6 linked regions of the Nothobranchius furzeri genome follow. The protein of the gene in region 5 purifies or fractionates together with the protein of the main gene of each other region. This does not show direct contact. Links are inferred from orthologs where the notes say so. Each region holds a gene or a part of one and is shown on either strand. Other genes may lie near its edges.

Region 1 (5,726 bases), on a different chromosome or scaffold from region 5:
CCATAAAGGTTATGAACAGAATCAGTGACAAAGGTCAGCCTTGGTGGAGTCCAACTCTCTCTGGGAACGAGCCCGATTTACTGCCGGCAATGCAGACCAAGCTCTGACACCGGTCATACAGCGACCTAACAGCCCATATCAGAGGGCCTGGTACCCCATACTCCCAGAGGGAGGCTACCATCTCACTCACTGGGGTAAACCCCAACGTACAGGCATCCAGATGGGGGGCAACTAGTATGTCCACCCCTGCTCGGCGCCTCTCAGTGGGAGCAACTCCAGAGTGGTAGAAAGTCCAACCCCTCTCAAGGAAACTGGTTCCAGAGCCAGAGCCATGCGTTGAGGTGAGCCCGACTATATCTAGTCGGAACCTCTCAACCTCACACACCAACTCAGGCTCCTTCCCCACCAGAGAGGTGACATTCCATTTGCCAAGAGCCAGCTTCTGTAGCCGAGGATCAGACTGCCAAGGTCCCCGCCCTTGACTACCACCCGTCACACATTGCACCCAACCCCTTTGGCCCCTCCCACGAGTGGAGAGCCCATGGGAAGGGGGACCCATGTTTCCTCTTCGGGCTGTGCCCGGCCATCAGGCCCTCGCCAACGTACCCCACCTCCAGGCCTGGCTCCAGAGGGGGGCCCTGGTGACCCACGTCCAGGCGAGGGAACACGGTTTCCATTTATATAATTTATCATAAGAGGTATTCGGGCTGCTCTTTTTCTGATCCCTCACCCGATGATCTTGTCTGATCCTCTCCACTGTTGCATGCAGCGACAGTGGAGAGGAAAACTCCCTTTTAACAGGAACAAAACTCCAGAGGATCATGGCTCCATATAAGCAGCCATCTGCCATGACTCACTGGTGTAACGTACCAGTGGTCCACACACACACAAACACACACATACAAACAAACACACACATACATACAAACATGTTTTCTGAGTTTTATTAAAACTGCAAACTTCCAAATAAGGTTGGCAGCGTGGCGGGTTTAGGGTGGGGCTTGTAGCCGATTCTCTCGTTGATCAGCTCTGCCCTGGACGCAGCAGTGGAAGAGGATGCTGAGCCAGAAGCTGCACCCCCAATCAGATCCACACCAATGACAGAAGCTCCACCCACTCCTCCTCCTGCCTCAGCTTCTTCTCGCTGACGCTTTCTGGACTAAACAAAGAAAAACAAACATGTTAAGATCAACAACCTGTTTTCATCTGATGTCAGAAAAACCAAAGACAGCAAAAAAAGCACATCAATAGTCACCCTCTGATTAGATCTGGTGACGACAGCTACAGGTCAGAACAAAGAAGAGTGACTGAAACCTCAAGCTCTTTCTTGATGCTCTCAAACTCCTCTGTGTCATCGATCTTCAGCTCCAGACGAGTTGGTTTCCTCCTCAGCATCTTCCTCGTTTTTGTTATGCACCTGCACAACAAATACTAACATTTAGAAAAACAATCGACTAGAAATATTTTTTACGTGTGATGTCCGTGCAAATGTCCCCTGCTGAAACCTGCTGAAACCTGATGTTTAGTGGACCGTAAACAAACATGAAGTCGCTCTGTAGCAGGCTATGAGGCCAGGTCGTAGATGTGAGCTGGTGGTTAGGAGGTCTCATTTGTTTAGATATTTTATATGATTTCTTGCCTTTGACTCCAAACTAACAACACTGAAGGAGCTTGAATTTCCTCATAGTAGGAATATTTTTAAATCTTTAACAGGAAAAAAAAAGCCAGTGACAGGAGCGACCCAGAAGTTAAGAAGCCACGGCATTGTTTTGTTTGACTTTAATATTGGCTGAAGTGGCTAGAAGCTAACGTTTAGCCAATATGGCTAACAGTGAATTAGAAACAAATAGTTAGCGCTAAAAATAGAAGACCAACAACTGGATATTACAGTCAAACAGATGTGTGAAGTGAATAATCATCGTAAAAATACTTTCTAAAAACTCAAGTTCACTGTAAAGTAAAAGCAAACGAAACAGTCGAACAAGCATTAAATGAGTGGTGCATTCAAAAGCACGATAAAACGTCAAACATAGTTACAGGGAAGAGAAAAGCTTCAACAGGTGGAGGGTTCAGCTGGTAATGACTTCCACGGAGAGGGGTTAGGGGGCAGACGTCCCACGGTGACAGGACGGGCAGGGGGACTGTGCCGGTTGATGGCAACTGGGGAGTGTGTAGAAACCTTTATGAGATGGGAGAGGTACGAGGGGCAAGGTTGTGAGTGGCCTTATATGTGATGAGCAAGATTTTGTAGTCAGCCCTGAATTTTATCAGCAGCTCAGAACTACATGATGGACAGCAGCAGCTCAGGAGTAGAGCGGGTTGTCCACTAACCCGAAGGTGGCAATTTCGATCCCAGCTTCAGACAGAGAATGCTGCCGTGGTGTCCTTGGGCAAGACCTTTACCTGCTGGTGGTGGTCGGAGGGACCGGTGGCACCAGTGCTTGACAGCCTTGGCCGTCAGTGTGCCCCAGGGCAGCTGTAGCTACATCGTAGCTCATCTCCACCAGCGTGTGAATGGATGAATGATGCACTGTAGTGTAAGGCGCTTTGGAGTCCTCAGGCTCTGAAAGGTGCTACACAAGCGTGGGTCGTTTATCATTCATTTACATGTTTCACTGATCACGCTTCTCACTGCTCAGGTCACTAACAAGCCCTCCAGATGCTTTATCATCTCACTGCAAAGAAAGCATCCAGTAATTCGTCCTAATGTTGGTTCTGCCACTGCTGACAAACCTCCACCTTCACCAGCAGGTGGCACCACCGTGCATTGTGTAGGACCTACTGATAATTCAAGTTAGAAAAATTCACCCAACATCAGAAAACCAGTTTTTCTTAACCTAAAAGGTTTACCAAGCCGGGCACAAGAGTATCGATCAGCTGTGACGATTTGGCGCCACTAGGTTTAGGGTCCTACTGTGGAGGAGATTAAAAATTCACCTAATTAAAGACACATTTATCAAAAAATGTTAGGAGAGCAGGGCAAGTTGATTTATGTGGCAGACCTACAAGAGTTAGCCTGTAGGGGGGGAAAACCGCGTCTAACCCCGCAAGGAAGCCCCGCATGGATGGGGAAAACACGCAACTCTATGAGTTTCGAACCTGCAACCTTCCGGTTAAGGGGGGGCTCTGGGCTCCTGTGCCACCGTCACCCCATCAACGTAAAAGCGTCGCAAGCAGAGGTTTTAAATAACGCAGGTGTTGCGGGTTGACTCCACACAGCGTTATGTTCCAGAACATCCGAAGTTGTTGAGGCGGAAAAGTCGAATCTGTGAACATCATGTCAACTTTACTTCCGTCCACCCGAACCCGTTTGTGTGACGAACCCAGGTGACTTTACCTGACGCACCGAGACTCTCCTTCGTCCTGATCGTCAGCTGTTTGGTTATCTGGCTAACAGGTAGATTGGTTAATTACCCATAAGTCCACGGATCCACCAACCGGAAAAAGAAGCTTTGACCCGGAAGCCAACAGTTTCATATCCGGGTTGCAGTGCTAGGAGACGTTGCGGCTTCGTCTGTTTTTACGGTAAGTTTGAACAACAAAACAAACGAAGCTTTAAAACAGAGAAACACGCTTATGGTCCAAACAGCAGGTGCGCGTGCTCGGCTAGACACGCGTGTCCGTGAGCCGTTAGCTCCGAGTCACGTGCGAACATCAGAACGCTTCTATGGTTTCGTCGTGCGGTCCGTGTGTGTTCTGCACAGCTACGGTTACAGCACCAGTTCACTACTGGTGTGGGTTGCAGCACCAGTTCACTACTGGTGTGGGTTGCAGCACCAGTTCACTACTAACTCACTCATAACATCTATGATAGCTTCCAGGCAGTCAGGTTTTCGTAGAGCTCGTTCTACTGAAACCAGGGCCGTGCAGAGACCTTTGACGGGGCGGGGCTCAAAGTAAAAAAAAAAAAAAAAAAAGGGGGCACTTTTAGATCAATCCAACAAGTTAAAAAAATCTGATAATGAGACCCTTGGGTTCAAACAACATAATAAAAATTTATCAATTAGTGTTAATGTTAGTTAATAAATAATGAACTAACCCTAACCCACCATTGCGTGGGCGATGGTGGCACAGGAGTTAAGATCTCGCCCCGTAATCGGAAGGTTGCAGGTTCGAGCCCCGCTCAGTCTGTCGCTGTCGTTGTGTCCTTGGGCAAGACACTTAACCCACGTTGCCTGCTGGTGGTGGTCGGAGGGACCGGTGGCGCCTGTGCTCAGCAGCCTCGCCTCCGTCAGTGCGCCCCAGGGCAGCTGTGGCTACATCGTAGCTCATCCCCACCAGTGTGTGAATGTGTGTGTGAATGGGTGAATGACTGATTGTGTTGTAAAGCGCCTTGGGGGGTTGCAGGACTCAGAAGGCGCTATATCAAATACAGGCCATTTACCATTAATAGTTTGTCACTGGAGAAACAAGTTATTCAGTTCTTTGGAAGTAAGGGCATTTCTATTGACAGCACCACTATAGCTGCATGCTACACAATTCCTAAAAAAACTGGAAAAAAAAAACAAAACAATAATTCAGTTTGTGAGCAGGAAACATAAAGTTGACTTGTTAAAGGTCGTAAAGAAGCTTAAGGGCACAGGAGTGTATGTAAATGAGCACCTGACAAAGAAGAATGCAGAGATTGCCTGGCAAGCAAGAATTCTGAAGAAGGAGAGGAAAATACAGGATACCTGGATAAGGAACTGTAAAGTAATGATCAAGCTTACTGGACCACCAGAACAGGCTATGGTGGTGAGCATCAAGAGCCTCTCTGAACTGGAAAAACTCAAATGATGAGAAGAAGATGGTATTTAATTCATGGACACAGCAGACTACAAGAAATCAGGAAATAATAGATTTTTTTTTAGGTTTGTCAGTGATGTAGATCATAAAATCTAAAAAAAATATCAAATCTGATAGATAATGGAGTTGACTCAGAAATTAATGGTTGCAGCAACACCCACCTGGACTGTGAATATTATATTGTAGAGGACTTCAAAGTGAGTATGTGTGGATTTTCATTAATACACTTTAACAGCAGAAGTCTCTACAACAATTTATCTAAGATCTCAGATTACCTAAATGAGTTCAAGGAGAAACTTACAGTAGTTGCAATTTCAGATACCTGGATCAAAGATGGAAAAGAGTTATTGAATAAACTGGATGGCTATGAAATGTTTACTCAGAGCAGACAAAACAAAGAGGGGGTGGGGTAGCACTTTTTGTTAGGACTGGTTTTGATTGTACGAAACTAACAAATATGACCTTCATTGTTGAGAATTTGATGGAGTGTCTGACAATTGAAATTAAGTGTAAAAAATCCAGAAACATCATTATAAGTTGTATGTATCGTAGTCCTGGTTCTTCTATAGATCAGTTTAATGAACGTATTGAAACATTATTTGGGCAATGTAGGAACAAAATTGCTTTAATTTGTGGTGATTATAATACTGATATGTTTAAATCAGATGATAATACTAAAATAGCTGAATTTATCAATTTAATGTTTAGTTTAGGTTTCCTTCCGTTGATACTGAGACCAAGCAGGATAACAGCCGTAGTATTACACCGATTGATAATATATTCATAAATCAATCTGACGTCAAGACAAAGAATGGCCTTTTTTAACTGATATTACTGATCATTTACTGGTGTTTACTGTGGTGGAAATGATGAGAAGTGATGAAACATCTCTGGAAAATGTAAATTATACCACAACTAGAAAAAAAACTTCTGTTGCAATT
Region 2 (4,940 bases), on a different chromosome or scaffold from region 5:
CAAAGGCCAAGTAAGCTGTGCCGCCTCTAAATGTCTTGCAGAAACTCTGGGTTTTGTTTTGTGGTGTGCGTGTGTGTTTAGGGCAGCACATCTTTCTAACGAGAGCTGCATGCTACGATGTGATATGACGACATGGGCCAAGTTCATCCATCGCTGTAGAGTGGCCATTAACGAATGTGATGGAAACAAGTTGGTTCACCTTCATGAGTCCTTCTGGCCTCCTGCATGAGATCTAACTATTCTCACCACCACCACTCAGTGGATGGTCAAAGAATTACTCCATGCTGCATGTGACAGCACAGCCAGCTGTTTTATCAGACTTCTCCAACAGTGTATAGTTTTGGTAAATGTCAGGTAGTATAAATGTCAGTACGCTTTAAAAACAGTTCATTTTTCCTAAGGAAATACGTTTTATGGGATATTTAAAAAGCAAACTGTTAGCTTTATTGTTTGGAGAAGACCACATTTATGAGAAGGTGGGAGTGCTGTGATGCTCGTGTTTTACTGGAAGGATGACAGGCAGTCCCTCCACTGGCCAAACTGCTGTACTGTATTTTCAGATAATTGTACTATGTATGACATGAACTGTTTTAGGTCAATAAAACTGTCATGAGGAACTCAGCCCGTCTCTCCTGGTGTCCTTCTGATGTCGTCTGAGGCTGGACACACGATACTGCAACAGTAAACTGTTATGGTTTAAGAACTGTTTCAGCACACAACCTAGCTCTAAACCAAACAAGTTTATTATACATTTATTACAACATGTAAAAAAAAAAACACTGGAAACTTTGCACTTGAGTTGATGTTTGAGTCAGGCTGGAGAAATCTTCCTGCAACACCTTCAGCCCCAGCCACACTGGCAGACAACAGCCACATTTCGCCAGTGCTGGTGGTTTGTTTACTCACCTTCAGCTCAACTAAAACACTTCCTGTACAGCACGGGCCTCCATCTAACACAGCACTGTGAAGGGTACTGGAGGTCAGATTCAAAGTGAAATGAGAAAGCTCCTCAGGATTTCTCACCAGAGAGAAGCATAATCACCATTAGTGGTACTGGGTGTCCCTTGGTTTTACGTAGCTGATGGGGTTTGTTATTTACAAGTAAATCCTCCTGATGGAGGCCGGTGGTGGCTGGCAGGTCCGGTTCTGGCATGAAGCTGACTCTTAGTAAAAAACCCCTCAGAAACATTAGCTTTTACGCTTGATAGCTCCCCCATCTTTAACCTCAGCAGCACCGCTCCCATGGAGCTCACCATCGTGATCACATGACTCCCAGGGGCCACAATGGCTGAAGGCATCCAGTGTGATGGAGCAGTCCTTACTGGCACCGGGTCACTGCATCCCAAACCACTGCTCCTGATCGGCCCACTGGGCTGCTTCACTGTCACTGCCCTCCAGATCTCCGTCCTCTCCGCTGCCCTCCATGTCGTCACCATCCAGCTCCACCGTGGCGTCTGTTGGACTCTCCTCCTTCTCCATCTTTTGCATGCCTTCTAAGGACTTCTGATCATTAGGGTCGAGGCTGAGGAGGGGCAAATGCAGAATGTAAATTTTTCTCATAACACATCATCATCATCACAATGTGAAGTCTACTGAAACCGTCGGAACGGTATTATCCATGCTGTTGTAGCCTCCAGGAATGGTCAGTTTTCCACCTACAGTCGGACCTCTTCAGTATCTGGCCGTTTGGAGACATAAGTCTTAACTGGTGCTTTCAATCTGCAAGAAAGACTGTTGCTTGGCCAAGGTCCCTCGCAAGCTCTCATCTAAGACTGGTTTTTATTCACAGAACAAGACGGATGAACAATATCAGTAACTAATCATATAATCATGTAATGAAATGGACAATGTGGTTAAATGAAATAACGTCACTGCAAACAGATATTTTCTTATCCACAAATTCAGCACTTTCATATCTGAGAGGTGTGTATCGGAGTTTGTTGGCAAAACCCCTTTACAGGGCAAGTTCTGATTCGTCAGTAAACCAAGATATGGCCGTTATTTAAACAGCATCACTTCCTGAGGGATTCAGTAGAGCCCAACTCTGACTGGCCATCGGAGGGAAACTCTGCTCCCATCGCATCTTTGACAAGCTGTCAAAACCCTGTTGCACGCTACAGCTGACCGCAAACGGTTCCTTCAGAACAAAGCTGAACCAACTTCCAACTCCTTAAGAGTTATTCCTAAGACGCAAACAACTACCCGTCGTGACCTGGAGACATCTCGAGACCGGTCTAGTCGGCACTGCAGTTTCTTCTACGGACTTCGGTACCTTTGGGGTCCCCGGACTTCAACACATTCCGGATCTACCACGGGGGTCTCCCAGAGGATACGTAGGCTCACAGATTGCGTCTGATGTGGTTTTACAAACCATCACTATAGTTATAGCAGACCAAATTCACTCCCACTCAGAACTCAGTTTCTCCAGATACGACGGCTCTGATAACGTCACATCATCACACCTCACTTTCCATCCACTTAGATTCATTCATCACATGAAGTGTTCCTAGTTGTCATGTTTTTAATTGTTTAGAAAATAAATGTCTTACTCTTTATAAACTTGACTGATTTAATACGAAGTGTCTGACAATCCCTGAATAAACAAAGAATTCTAAATCTTCTGGTTAAACATTCAAAGACCAATCAGACAGAATTTCCATATTTAAATAGAAATTCATATCTTGTTGGTCAAATGTAGTGTGGTATATTGAGCTTTAAAAGCACCCAAAACACATACATATGCTATCCCTACACTGTGAAGGTGAAGGGATCTCAGACAGGCTCTGAAAGATTGATCTGTTTACCTTAATGCTATACTGTACTGGTCCATGGCCTCCTGGTAATCGTTGACAGCTACCAGAAAATCTCCCAGCATCCTGTGCAGGACACAGTCGCTTTGATTGGCCAGGGCATTTCGTAGGAGAGCAATCCCCTCTTCGTGTTTCTGCTCTCGACCTGAACAGAGAAACCTGTGAGTTGTGCTCCCTCCCTGGTTAAAGTTACAGTTGTTAGTTGAACGTACTGAGCAGCTCAGCCTTTTTCACCACAGCCTTGGTGTAATCAGGTCTCTGAGCAAGTGCTTTGTCCAGAAGGGTTTTGGCTTTCTCCTGAGTCACAGGGTCCTCCAGGCACACGGTGGCGAGGATGGTCAGCGTCTGAGCATTGGCCCCCAGGGTCTTATAGATGTTGTTTGCCATTCCCATTGCTTCTCGAATCCCATTGGACGCCAGGTAACAATCAATCAGACCTGTGGTAATTCAGTTATTGTAAGCAGGCGAGAAACACCCAGCACCGAAAGACTTTTCCAAAACCCCAGCGTGCCTTCATAGCAGTCGAGTCGACAGGGAGCCAGACGCATGGCCTCTCTGAAATGGATGATGGCCTCTTGAACCCGACCCATGTTTCTCAGGGCTGCCCCTTTCAGGAGGAGGGCCTGCACGCTGTTGCTGTTCAGCTGGATGGCCTTGGCCCCCAGGTAGAGGGCTCTGGAGTAGCGCTTGCTATAAAAGCTGTGACAACTGAACAAAAACATTTAACCTGATAGAAGCATCTTCACAAAGGTCTAGTCGGGATGTCTGCTTAGAGACTCACCCAGAGATCACCCAGGGTTCAGCATGCTGGTCAGATATGTTAAATAATCTCCCTCCTAGGACTTCAACATCCTCCAGGTGTCCCTCTCGGGCCATCAGGTAGCCATAAACATCCATCCCTTCATGTGATTTAATTATATACATTAATATAAAAACAACTGCATTTCCTCCACAACAGCACTGAAAAAGATGGTCAAGTTAGGAAAACCACACGACTGCTAGGCGGTCATAGGCATGAACAGCTGTCTGTGACTTACCTTTGATGAGGTAAGGGTCCAACATCTGCGCTTGTTCAAATTTGAGAATAGCATTCTTAGTGTCCCCGGCTTTAAAATAAACGTCTGCCAGGCTCACCAGGAGGTCCACGTTGTCCCGCAGAAGGGATTTCTTTTCCAGGGAACTGAAGAAAAATGTGTTTGTTTCATTTTAAAGGAACGAGAATTAAGAAGCAAATTCAGTCCCTGAAGCCATGGAAATGTGTAGTCTGGTTGTTTTTAAAACCGAACATCATCCCCGCCCATCTAGGGAAAACCCTGGATCCACTCCGCAGCTAGGGATGTCCTTTCTCACTTCTGATACGATACCGGTATTGACTGATACCAATCCGACTTGATAACAGCACATATCACACATACTTTTACCTATTTCATAGTGTGGAACGTATGAAAGGCTTGATCGTGAGATATTACTCAATCGGAGAACAAGAGCCAGCAACAGTGAGTATGAAAGAAATTACTATTTTTTTAACCATTGGTTTCATAAACGTAAACCTTAAACATAACGTGTAACAAATGAATAAAAAAAGAAATAAATTAAAAGACTGAAAAATATTTTAAGTAAACACATAAACTAAAGATATATTTTTAAAGTACAAAATACTAATTCAGGGTCACTTCAGTTATGTTTTAGTGTCAGCAAATGGTGGGAAGAGTTGGGGCAGGAACATCAGGAAAAAAAAACCCACATTTTACCAACTGCTACAAGTTGAGTGTCCAAAGTTTCAACGGTGAAAATTCTCATGCAGTGTTTTGTGATGCTGCTTCAAACGTGCAATGAGGTATTAAACTTTGCTGGTCCTGTTCCACCATGGGAAACTTGTGCATGGCAAATGTTGCACTGAGTTACACCGTCTTCTGTGGACTTTAACAAACACGACTGCCGCACAGTTGCCATTGCTCCCTGCTACTTTGCTAGCATGCACGCTCTGACCACGCTGACTTTGCATGCTGGATCTGGGAGCTGCTGGATAGAATTGCTGGAAGGAAATTTAAAGTGAAACGGACGGCTTATGTCGGAGATTTTTCATGCAGTCCAATATAATCTGATAGTGTTTTTGGGCTGATATCGATA
Region 3 (3,975 bases), on a different chromosome or scaffold from region 5:
CACTGTTTAACAGAACGAGGAACTCTTTAATCGTAAGGGGAAATACTTCAACGTAGAGCGAGTTGGTCAGGTGAGGGCTTTTGTTACTGAACAGTTTAGAAAACATATCAACATTATCTTCTTACCTTGTGGTGGTTTGTCTTTGTTTTGGACGCTTTACAGTACCTGAAGGATGAAGATGAGGACCTGGTGTCTCCTCCCAACACAAAGGGTAACCAGTGGCTCAGGTTTTTACAGGAGAGCACACACCTGAAAGGTAAGTGATGATTTTGAGTTTAGGTGCCTAATTGAACTTTTGCAGAAGGTAAAATGTTTTATTTGGCGTTTTATTTTGTGGGATACAAAAATAACGAAATCCTTCCTCTTTAGAGAGTCCTCTGCTGTTCCCATCATATCCTCAGAAGTCCCTGCACTTCGTCAAGAGGATGATGGAGAATGTGATTGAACACTGCCTCCAGAAGCCTGCTGTAAGTGTTTGTGTGCCGTTTCTTTTCTCGTCAGTACGAACAAGCATCCCGTCGGCTCTGCAACACTATCACTCTTAAATATGTTGCCTTGTTTGCAGGAAGTAATTGGAAAATCTGTCAAACAAGCAGTCTTCCTTCCTTTGTACGCCATTTCAGAGAAGTAATGTCCCATTTGTCTTTTTATTGTCATTGTTTAACATAGTTAAAATTTAAAAGGAAATGTAATTAATTTGATGAATTTTTTTTCTCCTTTAGGCCAGAAAACACTCCACGACTGTTTGAGCTTCCATCTTTGTGCGTGAAACCCAAACACGTCAGAGCTTTGTTTCTGTAATAACAAGATTGGTGTTTGTATTCATGGTTTAAAAAACATTTTTGTGTGTGAACACACAGGTGGAACGATAAAAAAAACAAAATGCACTGTGTTGTGTTCTGCATGCCAGACATTTCTCCATGTAAGCTCTACCTGCTACAAAAAGGAACAGACCCAAACAGGTACGCTGTAAGGATTCAGTGCATTTCCTTTTTAGCTGTTTTTTTTTTTCTTAGTTATAACCAAATAGTCCTGTTTCTGCAGACACATCCCTAACAGTTTCATGTCAGTGGACCTCAGCCTTTACCATGACAACGCAGATGATGATGGTGCTGCAGCCCAGTGAGTCCAGCTCACCATGGACGCATCAGCTGTTTGAAAAGCGCTGATTACACTAATTTACCATCAGTTTCCTATTCAGGTCCCATTGTGCTTATAGCTGCCTGGATGCTCGTTTCTATGACGACCAGATGCTAACAGTGGTCTTGCAAGGATCGGAGGAACATAACAGCAGGCGTATCCTGGCGCAGCTCTCTCTTGCCTCGAGCTTAAGCTGTGACGCTGAGTTCGTCCTGGAGCCCAGTATGAGGTGTGTGTTTTCTACCATTTTGTGCCTTTTACTATAAATGTTACTGACATCAAACCCAAAACCATTCAGGAAAACAAAGACGTGCTCTGGGATTTAAGCTTTTTCAAATGGGATCTAAATAAAATGAACTGGAAAATAAGTAATGTGATTCCTGTAACTATAACATTTGGCATCACCTGATTAAAGTGTATGTGTTTGATGTCGCTAGACTGGACCAGCAGTGCAGTACCATCCCATGCCAGACTCTGGTGTTGGGGAATCAGTGGCGAGAAATGGAAAACATGAAGGCTGAGTTTGTTGCTGTCAATGGAATCCGCAAAGTGGCCTGTGTGGTAGGTTTGTCGCGTGTGTTTGACATTGTTAGCCTTGACACTAAACCACTGGGCTGCATGGTGGCGCAGTGGTTAGCACTGTTGCCTCGCAGCACGAAGGTTGCAGGTTCGAAACTCGGCTCGGCTTTTCTGCGTGGAGTTGCGTGTTCTCCCCATGCATGCGTGGGTTTCCTCCGGGTACTCCGGTTTCCCCACAGATCACAACACGCCCTATAGTTATAAGTTGTAAGTCGCTTTGGTAAAAAGCGTCTGCTAAATAAATAAACATAAATAAATAAACACTGAAGCCACTTATGGGTCAGGTGCCTTCTATTACATGATCTGGGTATGACTTCAGGTTGAGATGTCGGATTATTTGTGTAACTGATGTGATCAATAAGGTCAGATTTGTTTGAGTCTATATATTATTTAGTTTGCATGAGTTCTAGGTTACCAAAAAATGTATTTTTCTCCCTGTTTTGGCAGCTAAGTGCCAACTTCAGGCACATACGTGTCTTTGAGATGGATGTAGAAGATGAGGACGACGAGGGAGTTGACTCTCTGAATGTCAGCGCTCAGGATGGGCTGGCAACTACCATCACCAGCCAAGGACCGGTAGAGGAGTCTGAAGGTGAAGCGAGAGAGCAGGAAGGAGAAGCAGTACAAAATACTGAAGAGCAACTTGAGTCGGAGGAGGCCCTGTAACTCCCGTGATACCAAAACTAAAAAGCTGCCTGAATAAAGGACTCAACTTTATCTTCTTATGTTGTTGGAGCAGTCTGAACTATACAGCTGTAATAATTATTAATAAAAGTTTATTTTAGCGATGATTATGGTATTGATTGTATCTCTTAAAGAACTAGGTTTTATGTAAAACTAGCCTAATTTAGACAACCTTAGCCCTAGATGCTGTAAACGTGTGGGTCGGTGGAAGAGTGTTTATCTGCATATTGGAAGTGGATTGATGCTGGTCTCCCTGTACATCATGATGTGTTCTTGGTCAACACTGAAACCATGAAGCTCGGGTGTGAGTGTGAATTTAACTAGCAGTAAAAGTGCCTTGAAAGGTTTAATGACTAGAAAAGCCCTTTATAAATCAAATTAATCAATCAAAGGTACTTTATTAATCTCAGAGGGATTGTCTATAAAATGTCAATCTGATATTGAGAGTTCCTCAAGGATGTGTATTCGGCAGAGGTGTGGACTCGAGTCACATGATTTGGACTCAAGTCATTATTTTAATGACTTCTGACTTGACTTGATAAAATCTATAAAGACTTATGACTTGACTCGGACTTGAACACCAATGACTTGCAACTTGAATCGACTTATCTGTTGACTTGATGATGACTTGAGCATATTTGATATTTTAGCAGTAAAGTGCCACGACATGGACAAAAGTCTGGGTTTGATCTTGTACGGCTAACGGCAGCAGCTCTTTGTTAATAATCAGTTTCAGTTGCACTTTCTGCTTGTTTGAGCAAGTAAATTACGCTTTAAGAAGCTTTATTCTGGAATGTATTTATTATTGTCATTAAATTGAAGTTGGACAGATGACTTGGATTTGACTTGAACTTCCACATCATTGACTTTGAACTCGACTTGGACTTGACTGGAAAGACTTGTGACTTGCAAAGCAGTGTCTTGGTCACACCTCTAGACTCAGTCCTTTTTACTTTAGTGCGGTGACAGACTACTGCCTATGTCTATTCACTTCCACTGATTAAGTTATCTGAAGATACAACAGTGGTAGAACCAAGGCTGGATTATAATACGGGCAAACTGGGCACAGGCCCAGGGGGCCACAGCCACAAGGGGGCCCAGTCTTTTTTTTATTTTTTATGCAGCAGTTTTAACGTTGGAGAAAAAAGTTGACAAGTTATTAAACTTGCGCCCACATTTTCTAAGTTAAAACACATTTCTTTTAACAACAGTAGTTTTTGCATCTTTACTGCCTGCTTCAGCCCTCTCCCCCCTCCCCCTGCTTCAGCCCCCCTCCCCCTGCGCAGTGGCTGCAAACTCACTGATGCGCCTGCAGCCTCTCGGAGTTCCTGCTGCTCTAAACATTAAAATAATTATTTCATTTTCTGTTCCTCACTTCTGATGACCTTCAATGGTGTCTGTTTGTTGCAACCAGCAGGTACAAAAACTAACTTGTTTTTATTTGACTATTTTTCTGTCCTGTCTGTTTATTATCTTCCTGCAAGAAAAACTGCTACCTGGGTTCATATATATTCACCTTATGAGTTACCTTTGAACTGCAGTTCTAAAAGATCTACCGACCGCAAATATAGC
Region 4 (5,199 bases), on a different chromosome or scaffold from region 5:
AATATGTAGGTATATATGTGTACATATGTATGTATATATGTGTATATATGTATGTATATATGTAGGTATATAAGTGTATATATGTAGGTATATAAGTGTATATATGTAGGTATATATGCGTATATATGTAGGTATATATGCGTATATATGTAGGTATATATGTGTATATATTTAGGTATACATGCGTATATATGTAGGTATATATGTGTATATATTTAGGTATACATGCGTATATATGTAGGTATATATGCGTATATATGTAGGTATACATGCGTATATATGTAGGTATATATGCGTATATATTTAGGTATATATGTGTACATATTTAGGTATATATGTGTACATATTTAGGTATATATGTGTACATATGTATGTATATATGTGTACATATGTATGTATATATGTAGGTATATATGTGTATATATGTAGGTATGTATGTGTTTATATGTAGGTATGTATGTGTATATATGTATGTGTATATATGTATATATGTATGTGTATATATGTATGTGTATATATGTAGGTATATATGTATGTGTATACCGTAAATCCTCTAATACAGGCCGGTATTCAATTAAAGGCCGGGTCTCCAATTTTGGCCGGTGTCGGAGTCGGCGGAGGTGAATAATGGCCGGTCTCTTATTGTGGCCAGGTGGAATGTGGTAACAAGCAAGTACGGGGGGCGGTTGTGTCATCGTCTCACTTTTGATTTGCCAGTGATAGACCGCGAGGGTAACTTTAACTGTGCGGAAATGAAGAGGAGGCGAAAATTTGATATCAAGTTCAAAGAGAACGTGCGCTGCAGAACACTGGGGAGCACTAGGGGTTGTATGAACTAGTCTACTTCACTATAGTGACTTTTTATGCCTGTCGTCGACTAGTCGCTGTCACGTGATAATGACCGGCAAGATGCAGCCCTCGGAAAAGACAGCAGCCTGCTATCAGCAGGTGACAAGCTCCTGCGCTCGGGGGGGGGGGCAACGAGCTGTGCCAGAGCGTCGGTACTGACACGCGATCGTTCATGTCGGTTCATTTCCTTTAATGTTTTCTGTCTTTTATTTGCGCCTGATGTGTTTCGCTGCTGTGGAGCGGGGCACATCACCTTGTCCTCTGACGCACCGATCACTGATGCGGCCGCCAAGCAGGGAGCGCTCCGCTGTTTTTGAGGTCGGTAATCTGCCTCCTGAGCACAGCCACAGTAACAATCAGGTGTTGCCAAATTATTTAACACGCGATCGTTCATGTCGGTTCATTTCCTTTGATGTTTTCTGTCTTTTATTTGCGCCTGATGCGTTTCGCTGTGGAGCGGGGCGCATCAACTTGTCATCCGGTGACGCACCGATCACTGATGCGGCCGGCAAGCAGCGAGCACTCTGCTGTTTTTGCGGTCGGTAGATCTTTTAGAACTGCAGTTCAAAGGTAACTCATAAGGTGAATATATATGAACCCAGGTAGCAGTTTCTCTTTAGGATTGAGAGGAGATGCAGGAAGATAATAAACAGGCAGGACAAAAAAATAGTCAAATAAAAACAAGTTAGTTTTTGTACCTGGTGGTTGCAACAAACAGACACCATTGAAGGTAATCAGAAGTGAGGAACAGAAAATGAATTAATTATTTTAATGTTTAGAGCAGCAGGAACTCCGAGAGGCTGCAGGCGCATCAGTGAGTTTGCAGCCGCTGCGCAGGGGGAGGGGGGAGAGGGCTGAAGCAGAAACTACCGTTGTTAAAAGAAATGTGTTTAACTTTGAAAACGTGGGCACAATATTAATTGTCAAAAACTCCAACGAACCATTAGTTCATTTTGCTCAAATAGAAATAGAGGCCTGCCTCTAATACTGGCCCTCCTTCCAACAAAGGCCTGGAGCTTGATGAGCTTGAGTCAAATACAGGCCCGGGCCTGTATTAGAGGATTTACGGTATATATGTAGGTATATATGTGTATATATGTATGTATATATGTAAGTATATATGTAGGTATATATGTGTATATATGTAGGTATATATGTGTATATATGTAGGTATATATGTGTGTATATGTAGGTATATATGTGTATATATGTATGAATATATGTGTATATATATGTATGTGTATATATGTGTATATATATGTATGTGTATATATGTACTGTAAGTATATATGTGTATATATGTAGGTATGTAAGTCTATATGTGTATATATGTAGGTGTATATGTGTATATATGTAGGTGTATATGTGTATATATGTAAGTATATATGTGTATATATGTAAGTATATATGTGTATATATGTAAGGTGTATATGTGTATATATGTAAGTATATATGTGTATACATGTAGGTATATATGTGTATATATGTAAGTCTATATGTGTATACATGTAAGTATATATGTGTATATATGTAAGTATATATGTGTATATATGTAAGTATATATGTGTATATATGTAAGCATATATGTGTATATATGTAGGTATATATGTGTATATATGTAAGTATATATGTAGGTATATATGTGTATATATGTAGGTGTATATAAGTAAGTCTATATGTGTATATATGTAGGGTTATATGTGTATATATGTAGGTGTATATGTGTATATATGTAAGTATATATGTGTATATATGTAAGTATATATGTGTATATATGTAAGTATATATGTGTATATATGTAGGTGTATATGTGTATATATGTAAGTATATATGTGTATACATGTAGGTATATATGTGTATATATGTAAGTCTATATGTGTATACATGTAAGTATATATGTGTATATATGTAAGTATATATGTAGGTATATATGTGTATATATGTAGGTATATATGTAGGTATATATGTGTATATATGTAGGTATATATGTGTATATATGTAGGTATATATGTGTGTATATGTAGGTATATATGTGTATATGTAGGTATATATGTGTATATATGTATGTATATATGTGTATATATATGTATGTGTATATATGTGTATATATATGTATGTGTATATATGTACTGTAAGTATATATGTGTATATATGTAGGTGTATATATGTAAGTATATATGTGTATATATGTAGGTATATATGTAAGTCTATATGTGTATATATGTAGGTGAATATGTGTATATATGTAGGTGTATATGTGTATATATGTAAGTATATATGTGTATATATGTAGGTGTATATGTGTATATATGTAGGTATATATGTGTATATATGTAAGTCTATATGTGTATACATGTAAGTATATATGTGTATATATGTAAGTATATATGTGTATATATGTAAGTATATATGTAGGTATATATGTGTATATATGCAAGTATATATGTAGGTATATATGTGTATATATGTAAGTATATATGTAGGTATATATGTGTATATATGTAAGTATATATGTGTATATATGTAAGTATATATGTAGGTATATATGCGTATAACTTTGTGCTTCTTTCTGTGCAACTTGTTTTTTCTCTTTTTTTTCGGTTCATGGGTTGAGGTTGTGTCGGCCAACCAGTCCAGAAACTATATTGTTCATATTTTTTTAAGAATCATATGATTGTTTCATTTGTATTATTGCTATTTTAGTTAAAAGGGGCAGATAACATACGTTTTTCTTCTTTCTGTCCCCTTTTTCATTTTGGCTTTTAGCAATTTAGTTTTGTATTTTTATTTTAATGTCAATAAATGAAAATATAGTTGAAAAAAAAACCTCCAAAGTGTAAATTAAAATGTGAATCAGAAGAACACAGTGGGTGTAGTGAAAAAAAAAAGACTTTTATTAAAGAACGAACAATTTATAACAAGATCTGTGTTGTTCTATCAGAAGTATTTCATCAGAAGGTTGAACTGTTCCAAGTGGTGATGGTAGACTAAAGCAGCGCTGGAAGAACCGGACCTACCTGAGGTATTTACGGATGGGCTGGCAGGCCACCTGCAGGATCACCATGGACGGGTCCAGCTCTCGGAGAGCTTTGATGGCTGAGATGTAAACGGTGAGAATGTCGGCCGTGTGAACGCCTGGAAGAACAAACAGATTCCACATAAAACACGTGGGCTTGATAAAAAGGAAACGTTTCTCTGACGGGAACAAAGAAATGCTTTTAGCTCTCCACTTGTTTGTTAATAAACAGCCAGTTTTAGAAATCTAAACCGGTCAGTTTTTTACCTTCTATTCAGAAAAGCTTCTTTTTCAGCATTTTAATGCCTTTTATTTTTTACCACTTTGGTTTTGGTGCATTTTTAGTCTTTTATTTTAACCCAACGTGAACTTTGCAGTTTGATCTCAGAGTTCAGTCGATGTCCTTCACACTGACACAGACCTGGGTGCAGCAGGCGGCTTTCAAAGGCTGATTTCAACGACACGAGGAGCTGCTGCCTCTGGTTGGTTCGCTCCAAGCAGAACTTCAGATCCTCGATGGCAGCTTTAGATTCCGGAAAATCTGGGAAACAGAAACCAAGGAGAGAACATGATTTACCACAGGGGAATAAATCTGACCCATTTCCAGCCTGAGGTCAGCTTTGATGACAGAACTTTACTGAATCTTTGGGTTGTTTCTATTAAACAGAAAAGGACAGAGAAATGAAAATTTTCAGACACAAACAATAAATAAAAACAAACTCCTGGTTTAGTTTAAAACCCGAGACACAGACAGAGAACGATCATCGTCTCAGAACCAGTTTTAGGTCTCAGACAGAATCTAGGTTACATTTCTGAGATCTCATCCGTCCCGTCTCTCTGTGCTGAACCAGAAACCTCACACGGGTTTTGTTTTTCAGACGTGAACAAGCCAGAAACTGAAAATGTCAGATTCTTCTTCATCATAAAAGTAGATTGTAGGAAGCAGATTTAAGGACAAATAATAAATTAGATCATGAAGTCTTAAATTAATATTTTGAATTTATTCTGATCACAACTGAAAGGAAATATCCTGGTAATAAAGATTTTTATTCCAATTTTTGTTTCTTAAAGGGACTTGACGGAGTTTTTAATTTTTATGCTCGCGATTGCCCCCTCAGGCCAAAAGCATAACGGCAGCTTCAATAGTAGACTCGTGCACGAGGCGCGCATGCTGTACGTGCACACTCCTTAACGAAAATAACAGCTGAGACAGTCCCTTTTGTGTGTGTGTGTGTGTGTGTGTGTGTGTGTGTGTGTGTGTGTGTGTGTGTGTGTGTGTGTGTGTGTGTGAGGACAGAAGAACGTGCAGCTAATTAATTAAATAATGTGGTTCT
Region 5 (5,766 bases):
ATGATTTGTCTCAAACCTGCAACTGATTCTGTATAATTTCCAATATTGTACCATAAAGTTATAAATACCAACTAAGCTCTGTGTTTCTGTACATTAGTAAAAAATGAGTTTGCTGACTGAACCTGGTTGTAGTCAGGCTGCTGCTTGGATGCGTTTAGTTGAAGCACATGACAGAAGAAGTGACAAGGCCAAAGTTTAAAGGAGAGCTCAGTTGGACGTGCTCAGCAATCCTTCTACAAAATTATAGCGTTGCATATATGGGTCTATTTTAGAGCAGCAGACAGCACTCTTATCTAACGTTTAAACGTAGCAGGAGTTACCATAAAAACAGGACAAGTGGCATTATCTTCACGCACATCACTCACACTAATAAATAACAGGTAGAAACATTCACAGCAGGGTCTAATAAGGTATTTCAAGTCTGATGAGTTACAGCTTGATGGTAGTCAAAAGTGCCAACCTCCTCCTGAAGTATCTTGTGGTGATCCAAATAGATCTTTATGCCAAAAACACAAAAAATAAACCTATCTGCATCACATGGTGGGGGGAAAGCAGCAGCTGGAGTAGAAGTTCAAGGGTGGATGGTTTGTTTGGGACTAAAATCATCCTGAGTCTTAAATCATCCACTGGTCTTGATCTTGGTCTGTTCCTTCCATGTCCACCTGAACAGGAGTAACACAGTAATTAGTTCAAATTCAAAAATCTCGTCTCGTCTTCCTCCGCTTATCCGGGTCCGGGTCGCGGGGGCAGCATCCCAACTAGGGAGCTCCAGGCCGTCCTCTCCCCGGCCTTGTCCACCAGCTCCTCCGGCAGGACCCCAAGGCGTTCCCGGACCAGATTGGAGATGTAACCTCTCCACCGTGTCCTGGGTCGACCCGGGGGCCTTCTGCCGGCAGGACATGCCCGAAACACCTCCCCGGGGAGGCGTCCAGGAGGCATCCTGACCAGATGCCCAAACCACCTCAACTGGCTCCTTTCGATCCGGAGGAGCAGCGGTTCTACTCCGAGTCCCTCCCGAATGTCCGAGCTCCTCACCCTATCTCTAAGGCTGAGCCCGGCCACCCTACGGAGGAAACTCATTTCGGCCGCTTGTATCCGCGATCTCGTTCTTTCGGTCATTACCCAAAGCTCATGACCATAGGTGAGGATTGGGACGTAGATCGACCGGTAAATCGAGAGCCTGGCTTTCTGGCTCAGCTCCCTCTTCCCCACGACAGATCGGCTCAGCGTCCGCATCACTGCAGACGCCGAACCAATCCGCCTGTCGATCTCCCGATCCCTCCTACCCTCACTCGTGAACAAGACCCCGAGATACTTAAACTCCTCCACTTGAGGTAGGACCTCTCCCCCGACCCGGAGGTGGCAAGCCACCCTTTTCCGGTCGAGAACCATGGTCTCAGATTTGGAGGTGCTGATCCTCATCCCAGCCGCTTCACATTCGGCCGCGAACCTACCCAGCAAGAGCTGAAGGTCAGAGCTGGATGAAGCTAGGAGGACCACATCATCCGCAAAAAGCAGAGACGAGATTCTCCTGCCACCAAACTCGACACACTCCACACCACGGCTGCGTCTAGAAATTCTGTCCATAAAAGTGATGAACAGAACCGGTGACAAAGGGCAGCCCTGGCGGAGTCCAACCCTCACTGGGAACAGGTCCGACTTACTACCGGCTATGCGGACCAAACTCACGCTCCTCTGGTAAAGGGACTGAATGGCCCTTAACAGAAAGCCACCCACCCCATACTCTTGGAGCGTCCCCCACAGGGTGCCCCTGGGGACACGGTCATAAGCCTTCTCCAAATCCACAAAACACATGTGGATTGGTTGGGCAAACTCCCATGCCCCCTCCATCACCCTTGCAAGGGTATAGAGCTGGTCCACAGTTCCACGGCCAGGACGAAAACCACATTGCTCCTCCTCTATCTGAGATTCAACTATCGATCGGACCCTCCTCTCCAGTACCTTGGAGTAGACCTTTCCTTTATTAATCCCAGAGGGAAATTAGAGTTTCAGTACACACAATTCTGAGATAGACACATGACAAGAATTGGTGACTGTGGTCATTCGCAACCCGAGTTGCGCTACCTTAATAGATCAAGAGGGTTTATATGAGGAAAGAGTCAGGGGGAGGGGGAAAGGGCACTTCAGAGTTACCCTCAACAGAGAGGGTAGCTTTGCTATGCAAGAAAACACCTCAGACAGAAATGCACACAGACTTCTGACATTACACAACATAAGTGTCCACTAGGTGGGGAGGTAGGGTTGGGACTCTCCTCACTTCAGTGCGTGCAGCCGCATGGAGCAGCACTCATCACCTCTGTTTGGACTGGGGAGGGAGATAATGGGTTAGAGGGCGCATTGACTCCTAGATATGGTTCCACGGCCTTCACCGGTCACAGTCCCGCCCAGGCTGGGATAGGGAGAAAGAGTTTCCATAGCGACGGCAGCATTCCACATTTCTTCTGAGAGGGAAGTTTTCACTTCAGCCTCACAGGCTCAAGGGCACCAGATTCAGATAAGAATTGCTTTGGGGACAGGCAGAGATAATTTCCTCTCTGCCTTAGAGTTCTGTTGGTCTTCAACCTCTCTAGATCCAGCAATGGCATAATTAATCTATCCCAATCCGTGCTGATCCATCAACTCTCTTCTTGATGGAATCCACCTTCTGTGCCAGAGCCTGAATCTAACGACGAATATCCAAACATCTTCAGAATCCTCTACAGACAGTTGAGAGAGGCAGACCATGTTCCACTGTTTCCAGGAGTCCATGATATGCCCAGCTGGTTCTGTCCCAGAGGGGCATCCGGGAGCCCCTTCTCCCGTTCTCATCTTTGAAAAAATGTTGTCAATCGTGTTGAGAGACCAACTGACCAGATCTATTTTTAATCATTTCAAATTCCAAAAAAAAAAAATGCAGAAAGCGCCGTGCACACAAGACAGGACAAAGAGCTTGGGATAAGGAGGGAGGAAGAGGAGAAAAAAAGCGTCTGTACTCTCCAAGAGCCAGAAGAAAGGTTACAATTATATTAAAAGTCCTATTAGCCAATTACGATATTGTTGTTAAATCATGTGCTTGAGAAGAATAACTGAAAGCACCTCATTGATCTCGCCGTCATCAGGCGATTCGTTGTAGTCGTTCATCTCATCCATGTCCTGCATGTCTTCCTCATCTTCTGAGTCTTCTTCGCTGTCCTCCTCATCCTCATCGTCTTCTTCTTCCTCCTCTTCATAGCCTGCCTGCACTCAGCAAAAACAGATGGCACATTTATATATAGGGCCCATCACGCAAGAATGTCACGATTTCAATTAGTTATTCGAATTTTAACCTCAAATATTGGCTTTCCAATGGGCATTAGGTTGTTGTCTTTCTCAGCAATGCTCTGCAGCTAAAGCAGACAAGAGCGTTATTAAAATCGGAGTTTTAGGAAGGGAACAGATGACGTGCAGGAGCCGAGCTCGGCTTTACCCAGGCTTGGTGCTGCTGCTCCTGCTGCTGGAGCTCCGTCTCGTCCACACACGGTCGGTCCAGGTTGAACCATAACGACTCTGTTATCCGCGGGAGCAACGACGGAAACAGCGTGGACATAGCTACACACAGACGATAACAAACACAAAACATGTAAAATACTCCAAGTAAAGGTGCTCATAAATGTTTAAACTATGGATTAAAACCAAACGTGGGTGAAGCTGCCACACAAACGCCTGAACTTATCTCAAGATGTGTTTTTTTTAGCTCTCCAAAAGATTTTCCATCCCTCAGCAAATTCTCAATCAAACTACAAAAGCACATTCAAACATTTAAACGAAAAAACAAGTAATAATTAGTCTGAATACTTTGTACCTTCAGTCGCTGCTGACAAAAGACTAACAATTCAAACTTAACCGGAAACAGCTTGCGTTCACGCATAAAGCGTCCCTTCGGAAGGTTCCGCCTTGAACAAGCTAAGGAAGGGTGTCTGAAAGTATAAACATATGAATATTTTATTATTTCTGCTTTCCATACAATAACTTAATATAGCTTTAACCACGGGAAGAGATTTCCACAAATTATTTATTTTTCTGTGAACATCTACTTCTGATTAATCTGAAATGTTTTCTCAAACTTTTCTAACAAGATGACAGTGAAATAGAATTGCTGGATGAAGTTAATGAACATTAATAATGAGCCAATAAAACAATAGCACAATGAAATCAGTTTAAAAAACCTCTACCATGTTGCTGTCATTGTTTTAATTTTATGACATCTTATTTTAAAATTGTGGCAATAATACAGTTTCAACCAACATTTCTATTTGATTTAATTTGATTCCTGGCAACCATACACAAATACAATCATTGTTGTAAACTAAGCAGACAGAGGTACAAAGAAAAACCTTTCAGTGATAAAAATGTATACAAAAGTTATAACTAAATGTGAAATTCAGCATCCAGAGAGAGTTGATACACGCTGTAATGTCAAAACCTAAAGATATGTTATTATTTACAATTTACGTGTATTTTATTTTTATTACACAATATTTGAAATGTATAAATGAAACTTCTGATTTACTCATACAAGTGTAGCTTTTCCAACAGCTGGCTTATCAGGTCCCCTTTATAATGCAGATGCTGTTGTGTGTTTATTGTTTTCACACAGTATGAAGCACTTTGGAGTCTCTGACTCTGAAAGGTGCTATACAAGTGCAGTTAAAATAAAGATATTGCATATATTTTTAGCTGTTTTTCAAATGTTCATTTTGTTTCTCTTTTATGTTATTGCATAATCATTAACATCTCAAATTAAACTCACTTCTGAACACGCCTGCCATTTCAGCTGAAACAGGACACAAAAAACAGGTGCAGCAGAAACGTGTGTGTGTGTGTGTGTGTGTGTGTGCGTGCGTGTGTTTGTGGGTGCGTGTGTGCAAGACCTTGAGATAAGACAAACTGTCCAGTAAGTAATAAAACACATGATCATATTTGTGTCATAACACACACACACATTCTCATCCCACCTCCAGCACACACACACACACACACACACACACACACACACACACGTGATGAAGTCTTTGTACTTTGGATACATATTAGTTAATGGTAGTGGAAGTGGAAGTTCCTCTTGAGCTGTGCTAGGGCCAACCTTGTGCTCGGTCTCATGCATCTCACGGATGAGTGTTGAGTCTTCAGAAGTGTGCCAGAGGTTGCTTGGAGAGTTACAGAAAGTTTCTTTACAACTGAATCATCAGAAAATATAAAAAAAGGTAAAGAGACCCAATTTATTGACTCTGCAAATTATTATCGATTTAGGAAATGTTTTCCAAGAGCTGAAGCATGATTGATTTAGATTGTTGTGGTTACTCTGATTTCTTTTACACTGAGAAGTTAACAGTTATTTGTCTGTTTTGACTAACTTTTCAGAATGTTGTGAACATTTATTAAACTAACAGTAAGTTTTATTTATTATTTGTGGCTGCTTACAGTTTAGGTGTTGGGTGGTTTCACCTGTTTTATGTTGAATTCATCATCTTTAGTTTGTTTTTTAAACACTTTGAGGAAAATCATCATCCACATTACATGGAAATGAATGAGAAATAGGCTGAAGGAAGTCCGACTTTCATTCATGCTTTGGCTGAATTAATTGTTTTGTCTAAATTTAAAGCTGCAGTCACAGGTGCTACACAAAAATAAGAGTTAAGTGGACTCAGTGTGCACGTCGTTATCTTAAACCAGCGAGTCATAGCTGTATTCACAATCACAGAACAAGGTTAAAAGGGCACGTCCCAA
Region 6 (5,199 bases), on a different chromosome or scaffold from region 5:
GGAGAAATTATTACCTCACAATAAAAGAGATGTATTGAGTTTGCGTCCTCAACATGTCATTTTATAGGTTATCCGCTTTCACCGCAGTGCTGCACTCCGTTTCAATCAGGCTGTACAGCAGGATTTCCCCTCGTAGCGATATTTTCTTTAACTCCGATTGCTTCATGCTATAGATCATTGGAAAGCTGCGTTTATGTACTTTTAGGAACTGTTGGAATTATTTGAATCTGATCCGCCATTCAAAAGTTATAAAACAGAGCATTTTAGATGACAAACTCGGTGCGTCTCTGAATCTGTGTTGTGATTCGTTGCGCTCAAGACAGGGAATCCCGGTGGCTACCGTAATGTATTTTATGTGCACGAAAAGCCCAATTTTTAATCTTTTCAGCACTTTTGGAATTTTAATGATATCTTGAACTAGAGCAGGGATCGGCAACCCGCGGCTCTTCCATCCCATCTGATGCTGCTCTCTGTGCTTGTAAAATAATGAATGGATATTCAAATAAAATGCTTTATATTTTACTGAATTAATTTTATATCTGTAAGTCAATTCTATGTGAAGATTGTCTGCGTAAACCTGAACAGTTCCAACCCAGTCTTGCTGTGAGACTGGGTTGGGTCACGCTTATGCTTAATCATATGTGCTTTCTGAGCTGAAAAGGATGTGAGATTCTGGGATTCTCCTCAGACGGCTCCTGGATGTGTCGCCACATTGGAGACAGGAACAAGCACTATTCAGCCAAAGTTTCATAATCAGGGAACATTTACTAAGTGACAAGTCTCTCTGAGTGACAGGGTTTGGAAAACACTCGCTTCAGTGGGAGGAAGCTTCCCGCATGCGCTCTGGTTCTGCGACGCGCTCAGCTGCGCTGAGCAATGTCCAGCTCAGATGTTCAGATGGGAATCTTTTCTTGGGTGATTTAGCTAAATCTGCGATGTGCATAATGAATAAGATGTTAGTTCGTCTGCATGCGTCGGGGCAATTTTTTCTATTCTTTCTCCGTCAAAATTAACCGTCAAATACGGGAACTATCCGGTCAACACAACACGAGCCCTGCTCTTGACTGTTTTGTTTTCTTGTGAAAATTGTTGGAAAGAGATCAAATTTAACTTGATTAACACCAGAGCCAGTGCGCCGTTATCTCCGTGACGGTAAATGAGGGGAAAACAAATTGATCGGATCCTGCACGTCTTTTAACACATTGGTCAGGATTGACGCACTTTTTTTTCATTTAGTTGGTTAAAAAAAAGTCGGGCTTGGGCTCGGGTCAGGCCAGAGAATCCTGAAAACCTTTTCGGGCCGGGTCGGGCTGGGGCTCCATACCCTCGGGCCGGGCCGGACACGGGCTCAGATTTTAGGCCCGTGCAGGGCTCTAGTTGAGATGGTCCGATTAAAAACGTATGCATTCTTTTAACAGTTACACTACCCAACAAAAACACAGAGTTTCAAATGGCAATTTCATTTTATTGTGTATAACATACATGATCATGGCGTTTCTCTTACCCAGCTCAGATGTAGCAACTTCAGGTACAGAGATCCTCAGCATGGCACCACCGCCGAGTTCCTGTTGATAATTAAACAAACACCAGAATACAAATGACACCTTTGTGTGTGTGTGTGTGTGTGTGTGTGTGTGTCAAGACGATGAGTGTAATGGGGGTATTATTGTCATACTGCTTTTATATTTATGGGGATGGAGGGAATGTGGGTATGTGGGGTCATTTTAATTTGTAAAGCACTTTGAGTTGCATTTATTGTATGAATTGTGCTGTATAAATACAGTTTGATTTGATTTGCAGTCCAATTTCACAGAAGTGTGGTGAAATTTAAGATTGTGTCTATTTCAATCATCTGCTTTATAAACTGTAACTAAAGCAGGTAAATAGAAAATTAGTCATGCTCAATCAGATTTTGTTAAAAACAAAAAAAGTCTGGTGATGAAATATTTCAGCAGAGAAAGAGTCCAGATGTATTTAAATATAAATTGATATAGCAAAAACACCAAACTGTTGTAAATCTACAAAAGGAGAAGAGTTAATACCCAACAGACTGGAATTAGGAAGTAAAGTTCTGGATCAGAGTTTCTATTAGGGCTTTAGCATTGCTCTCGACTCGTGTTGAAAACAACGCTCCACTTTGATGGTGACCGCAATTTCTAGGATGTTTTCTAAAAAAAAAAAATCACTGTTGCTTTGAGGCTTTAGACCCCCCCCCCCCACACACACACACACACACACACATTATAGAAACTTGGATGAAGATAATCTCATTTCCAATGGATCGCCAGCTCTACCACAATGACTTTTTGGAAGAGACGAGAGTAAGGTGGCATGGCTCCAATCTATATGTGGATAATAGACCCACATCTCTAGTGACATTAAGATCATGTTATATCCAACTGGGTTGGGCAAATTCTGTATTTTAAAAGAGAAAAAACTTCATGAGAAAATAACCAATCAACTCGACAGCCCAAATCTGGAGCTTTGAAATTCTCTGCAGGGTTCAACATAAATAATTGATACATAAAGGGCCCAAAGAAAAAATGTCAGAAAATCAAACCAATCAAAATCTCTTGTTTCTGTGACCATGTTTGGTTAAAATAAGGGATGTTCATAGTTAATCGGTTAATTCCTGTTAATGTTATAACTGGTAAAATAGTTTTGCCTGGTTAACTGGTTGGTTGACTGCCAGCTCACTAACCCTAACCCATAACCACAGAAGAAGAGCTAGTCACATGACCAAATAAATTTACTCACAAATGAAGCGGTTAGAAAAAGGCACAGCGTGGGAGCATTTTAGACTTGGTGGTTAACAGAATGTGCCCCATAAAAGCCCTGAGCAGGAATAAACATGGAAATAAAGTCACGCAGCAAAATGAAATGAGACCAGCAACAGGTTAGTCTCTGCCATGTCTCCTGCTTTATGAAAGCTTAGTGTCTGCCTCCTCTAGTTCGTTTAGTGAAATAAAAAAACATTGGTGTAATTATTTATGTTTTACTCAACTTTTTATTAAAAAAATACATGTGCAAAGCAGGTCATCATATATTAGTTCAAAGTAAGGAAACTAAAGTGAAATTTATATATATAAGTGGGTGTAGCGAGGACGCGAGAATGAGTATTCTAGGAATTCGGACAGTACTCGTTGCTGCGCTGTGACGTCATCGACCTCAAAATGCGCTCTTACAAGCATCCTTCCCAGGGATTCTGACACACCCAAAATATTAGCTCTAGCAAAAAATAACTTCTTGTCTTAAAGTATCTTTTCAGAGTTTTCCCCTTTCAGAAATTATGTATGATTTTTCAGAAATCCGTAAAAGTCATTATCTTATCAAGTACGTCTTTTTTTTTTTTGCTAAGCACGCCCCCTGCCCAGCAGAGCTCCGAGCAATAGGGAACTGAGCACCAACCAAAACTCACCAATAGCGTTAGACTACAGCATACCTGCTGATGTAGAGTTGATGTATTTTTCCACAGACAAGTCTTTAAAATATGAATATATGAAAACACAACATGACATGAGAATAATACGTGTAAAACAACGTGGTTTAGCTCTGTTTGTCGGCTACAGAGGCACATTTATAAACAGAAACATGAAGTTGCCATCTTAAAAAAATGGATCCAGAGACTATGTGTGTGATATGCTTGTCAGCCACTAGATAGTGCCATTGAATGAGAGAAATACTCTAGAAAGAGACTTTAAGTGACTGTCTTTTTTTTTTTTTTTTTTTTTTTTTTTTTTTTTTTTTTTTTTTTTTTTTTTTTTTTTTTTCATTTTTACAAAAGCAAACTCACCAAAGTAACCCGGTTGCAGACAGGATCCCGTAAACCATGTATGCAGGGTGTGGCTTGTTGGAAAATGTGATCTTCAAAAAATGATGCTTCATGGTGTTTGTTGTTTAGACCCTTAGGCTCTGATACTGGTGAAGGCATAAAATCCTGAAAAAAGGGTGTGCAAAAGTTAGAGAATAAAACTTGGGAAAGTAAATGGATTTCTATTTGTCGTTCATTAACTTCCTGTCTTGACCTGTGCTGGTACCTCACTGAGTCTCTGGATGTGCCTGTTTACACCATTAGCAGGTGTGCTGACACTCTCCACAGGAGTACTGATCTGGGGCCGCTGGTTGGAAAGGCTGAAGCTGGGGGACAAAAGACCAGGAACAAACACCTTACTGACCTGCAGGAAGACAAGGAAACAAATTCATGACTTTCACTCCATGGCAAAAAAATAAATAAATGGTCTGAAGTAGAAAACAGTCATCAGAGATTTCTCCCGAGGCTGTACCATCGACATACATATATCTGGGCTGTACCTACCCTGGTGATTCCTGTGTAAAGAACCAGACTGCCACACGCCTCCAGAACCAACATGGCGTCTATATTCTGTCGAGCAGAAATCTGTTGTCAGAAGCACTCGATTGTTCTTCTAATTGACATTTCCATTGATAGACCAATACTGTAGTTAACTTACCTGTAGAGGTGCTGCATCTTTGGCAGAAATGGTCGTCACAGACGGGAAGATGAGCTGAGACGATTCGTTGCTCTCGATAAATTTCACACATCTGTGGATAGAAGAAAATAGAGCCACTCAGATGGGTCACGGTGTGAAGACTAATGTAATTAAATGTGAAATATTTAGAATGACACAAATTGCATCAATGACTGACTCTGCTGCATGTGTAATTTTACACAAAACAGTCACCAACAAACCAAGAATATACATCAGAGCTTGAGTAAACCAGCTCTAGTTTCAAATATCAGACTCAGAGCTTCAAAATGAAAATGACGGTGTGTGTGTGTGGCATGTATCTGTTGACCTCAGCTGCTGATGAGACTCCACCAGGAAACAGAGATACCGGTTCTCACAGAGGTCAGAGGTAATGAACACTTTTGATGCCTGACTGCTCATCTCCCTGCAGAAGCAAACAGATCAGAACGGCATATTTTTTCTCCCACTTGTTTAGGTATATTTTACATTTTTGTGCAACAATGACACATTAATTATCATCAAAAAATGCTAAAAAAAAAATAATGAGTTTAATGACCCAAGAGGAAAAAGAAAAGATGGAACAGTAGCTTAAGAAAAACTTGCGTTAATCAAATTGCTTGCCTAAGCTAATTTGTCCTCAAAAGGTCATTTGACATAAAAAGATGAGGCATGGATACATTTCATTAAGAGTCTTGATGACCTAACATAACAG

The links.
Region 1: the proteins of anapc15 (region 5) and cdc26 purify together in Homo sapiens (affinity purification with mass spectrometry; 3 studies listed by BioGRID and IntAct, with this or other methods). This does not show direct contact. The link is inferred for Nothobranchius furzeri from reciprocal best matches to the Homo sapiens genes ANAPC15 and CDC26.
Region 2: the proteins of anapc15 (region 5) and anapc7 purify together in Homo sapiens (affinity purification with mass spectrometry; 3 studies listed by BioGRID and IntAct, with this or other methods). This does not show direct contact. The link is inferred for Nothobranchius furzeri from reciprocal best matches to the Homo sapiens genes ANAPC15 and ANAPC7.
Region 3: the proteins of anapc15 (region 5) and anapc4 purify together in Homo sapiens (affinity purification with mass spectrometry; 10 studies listed by BioGRID and IntAct, with this or other methods). This does not show direct contact. The link is inferred for Nothobranchius furzeri from reciprocal best matches to the Homo sapiens genes ANAPC15 and ANAPC4.
Region 4: the proteins of anapc15 (region 5) and anapc2 purify together in Homo sapiens (affinity purification with mass spectrometry; 4 studies listed by BioGRID and IntAct, with this or other methods). This does not show direct contact. The link is inferred for Nothobranchius furzeri from reciprocal best matches to the Homo sapiens genes ANAPC15 and ANAPC2.
Region 6: the proteins of anapc15 (region 5) and anapc1 purify together in Homo sapiens (affinity purification with mass spectrometry; 3 studies listed by BioGRID and IntAct, with this or other methods). This does not show direct contact. The link is inferred for Nothobranchius furzeri from reciprocal best matches to the Homo sapiens genes ANAPC15 and ANAPC1.

What each region holds. Positions count from the first base shown.
Region 1 is NC_091746.1:69,563,960-69,569,685, reverse strand, and holds cdc26 (anaphase-promoting complex subunit CDC26), read right to left. Parts: upstream 3,473-5,726; 5' UTR 3,338-3,472; intron 1,418-3,337; 5' UTR 1,396-1,417; coding exon 1,315-1,395; intron 1,160-1,314; coding exon 947-1,159; 3' UTR 929-946; downstream 1-928. UniProt on the Homo sapiens protein: Component of the anaphase promoting complex/cyclosome (APC/C), a cell cycle-regulated E3 ubiquitin ligase that controls progression through mitosis and the G1 phase of the cell cycle.
Region 2 is NC_091757.1:28,331,605-28,336,544, forward strand, and holds the end of anapc7 (anaphase-promoting complex subunit 7), read right to left. Parts: intron 3,991-4,940; coding exon 3,848-3,990; intron 3,710-3,847; coding exon 3,592-3,709; intron 3,519-3,591; coding exon 3,322-3,518; intron 3,248-3,321; coding exon 3,023-3,247; intron 2,956-3,022; coding exon 2,805-2,955; intron 1,523-2,804; coding exon 1,333-1,522; 3' UTR 1,132-1,332; downstream 1-1,131. UniProt on the Homo sapiens protein: Component of the anaphase promoting complex/cyclosome (APC/C), a cell cycle-regulated E3 ubiquitin ligase that controls progression through mitosis and the G1 phase of the cell cycle.
Region 3 is NC_091748.1:39,294,334-39,298,308, forward strand, and holds the end of anapc4 (anaphase-promoting complex subunit 4), read left to right. Parts: intron 1-13; coding exon 14-70; intron 71-125; exon of another isoform or gene 126-162; coding exon 163-256; intron 257-369; coding exon 370-467; intron 468-565; coding exon 566-627; intron 628-722; coding exon 723-761; intron 762-860; coding exon 861-962; intron 963-1,044; coding exon 1,045-1,122; intron 1,123-1,189; coding exon 1,190-1,369; intron 1,370-1,577; coding exon 1,578-1,701; intron 1,702-2,166; coding exon 2,167-2,385; 3' UTR 2,386-2,510; downstream 2,511-3,975. UniProt on the Homo sapiens protein: Component of the anaphase promoting complex/cyclosome (APC/C), a cell cycle-regulated E3 ubiquitin ligase that controls progression through mitosis and the G1 phase of the cell cycle.
Region 4 is NC_091745.1:17,485,645-17,490,843, reverse strand, and holds part of anapc2 (anaphase-promoting complex subunit 2), read right to left. Parts: intron 4,407-5,199; coding exon 4,287-4,406; intron 3,985-4,286; coding exon 3,867-3,984; intron 1-3,866. UniProt on the Homo sapiens protein: Together with the RING-H2 protein ANAPC11, constitutes the catalytic component of the anaphase promoting complex/cyclosome (APC/C), a cell cycle-regulated E3 ubiquitin ligase that controls progression through mitosis and the G1 phase of the cell cycle.
Region 5 is NC_091753.1:34,127,371-34,133,136, reverse strand, and holds the start of anapc15 (anaphase-promoting complex subunit 15), read right to left. Parts: upstream 3,933-5,766; 5' UTR 3,842-3,932; intron 3,589-3,841; 5' UTR 3,587-3,588; coding exon 3,467-3,586; intron 3,387-3,466; coding exon 3,327-3,386; intron 3,238-3,326; coding exon 3,097-3,237; intron 663-3,096; coding exon 615-662; 3' UTR 1-614. UniProt on the Homo sapiens protein: Component of the anaphase promoting complex/cyclosome (APC/C), a cell cycle-regulated E3 ubiquitin ligase that controls progression through mitosis and the G1 phase of the cell cycle.
Region 6 is NC_091752.1:26,766,127-26,771,325, reverse strand, and holds part of anapc1 (anaphase-promoting complex subunit 1), read right to left. Parts: intron 4,912-5,199; coding exon 4,816-4,911; intron 4,561-4,815; coding exon 4,470-4,560; intron 4,397-4,469; coding exon 4,316-4,396; intron 4,176-4,315; coding exon 4,026-4,175; intron 3,938-4,025; coding exon 3,794-3,937; intron 1,566-3,793; coding exon 1,505-1,565; intron 1-1,504. UniProt on the Homo sapiens protein: Component of the anaphase promoting complex/cyclosome (APC/C), a cell cycle-regulated E3 ubiquitin ligase that controls progression through mitosis and the G1 phase of the cell cycle.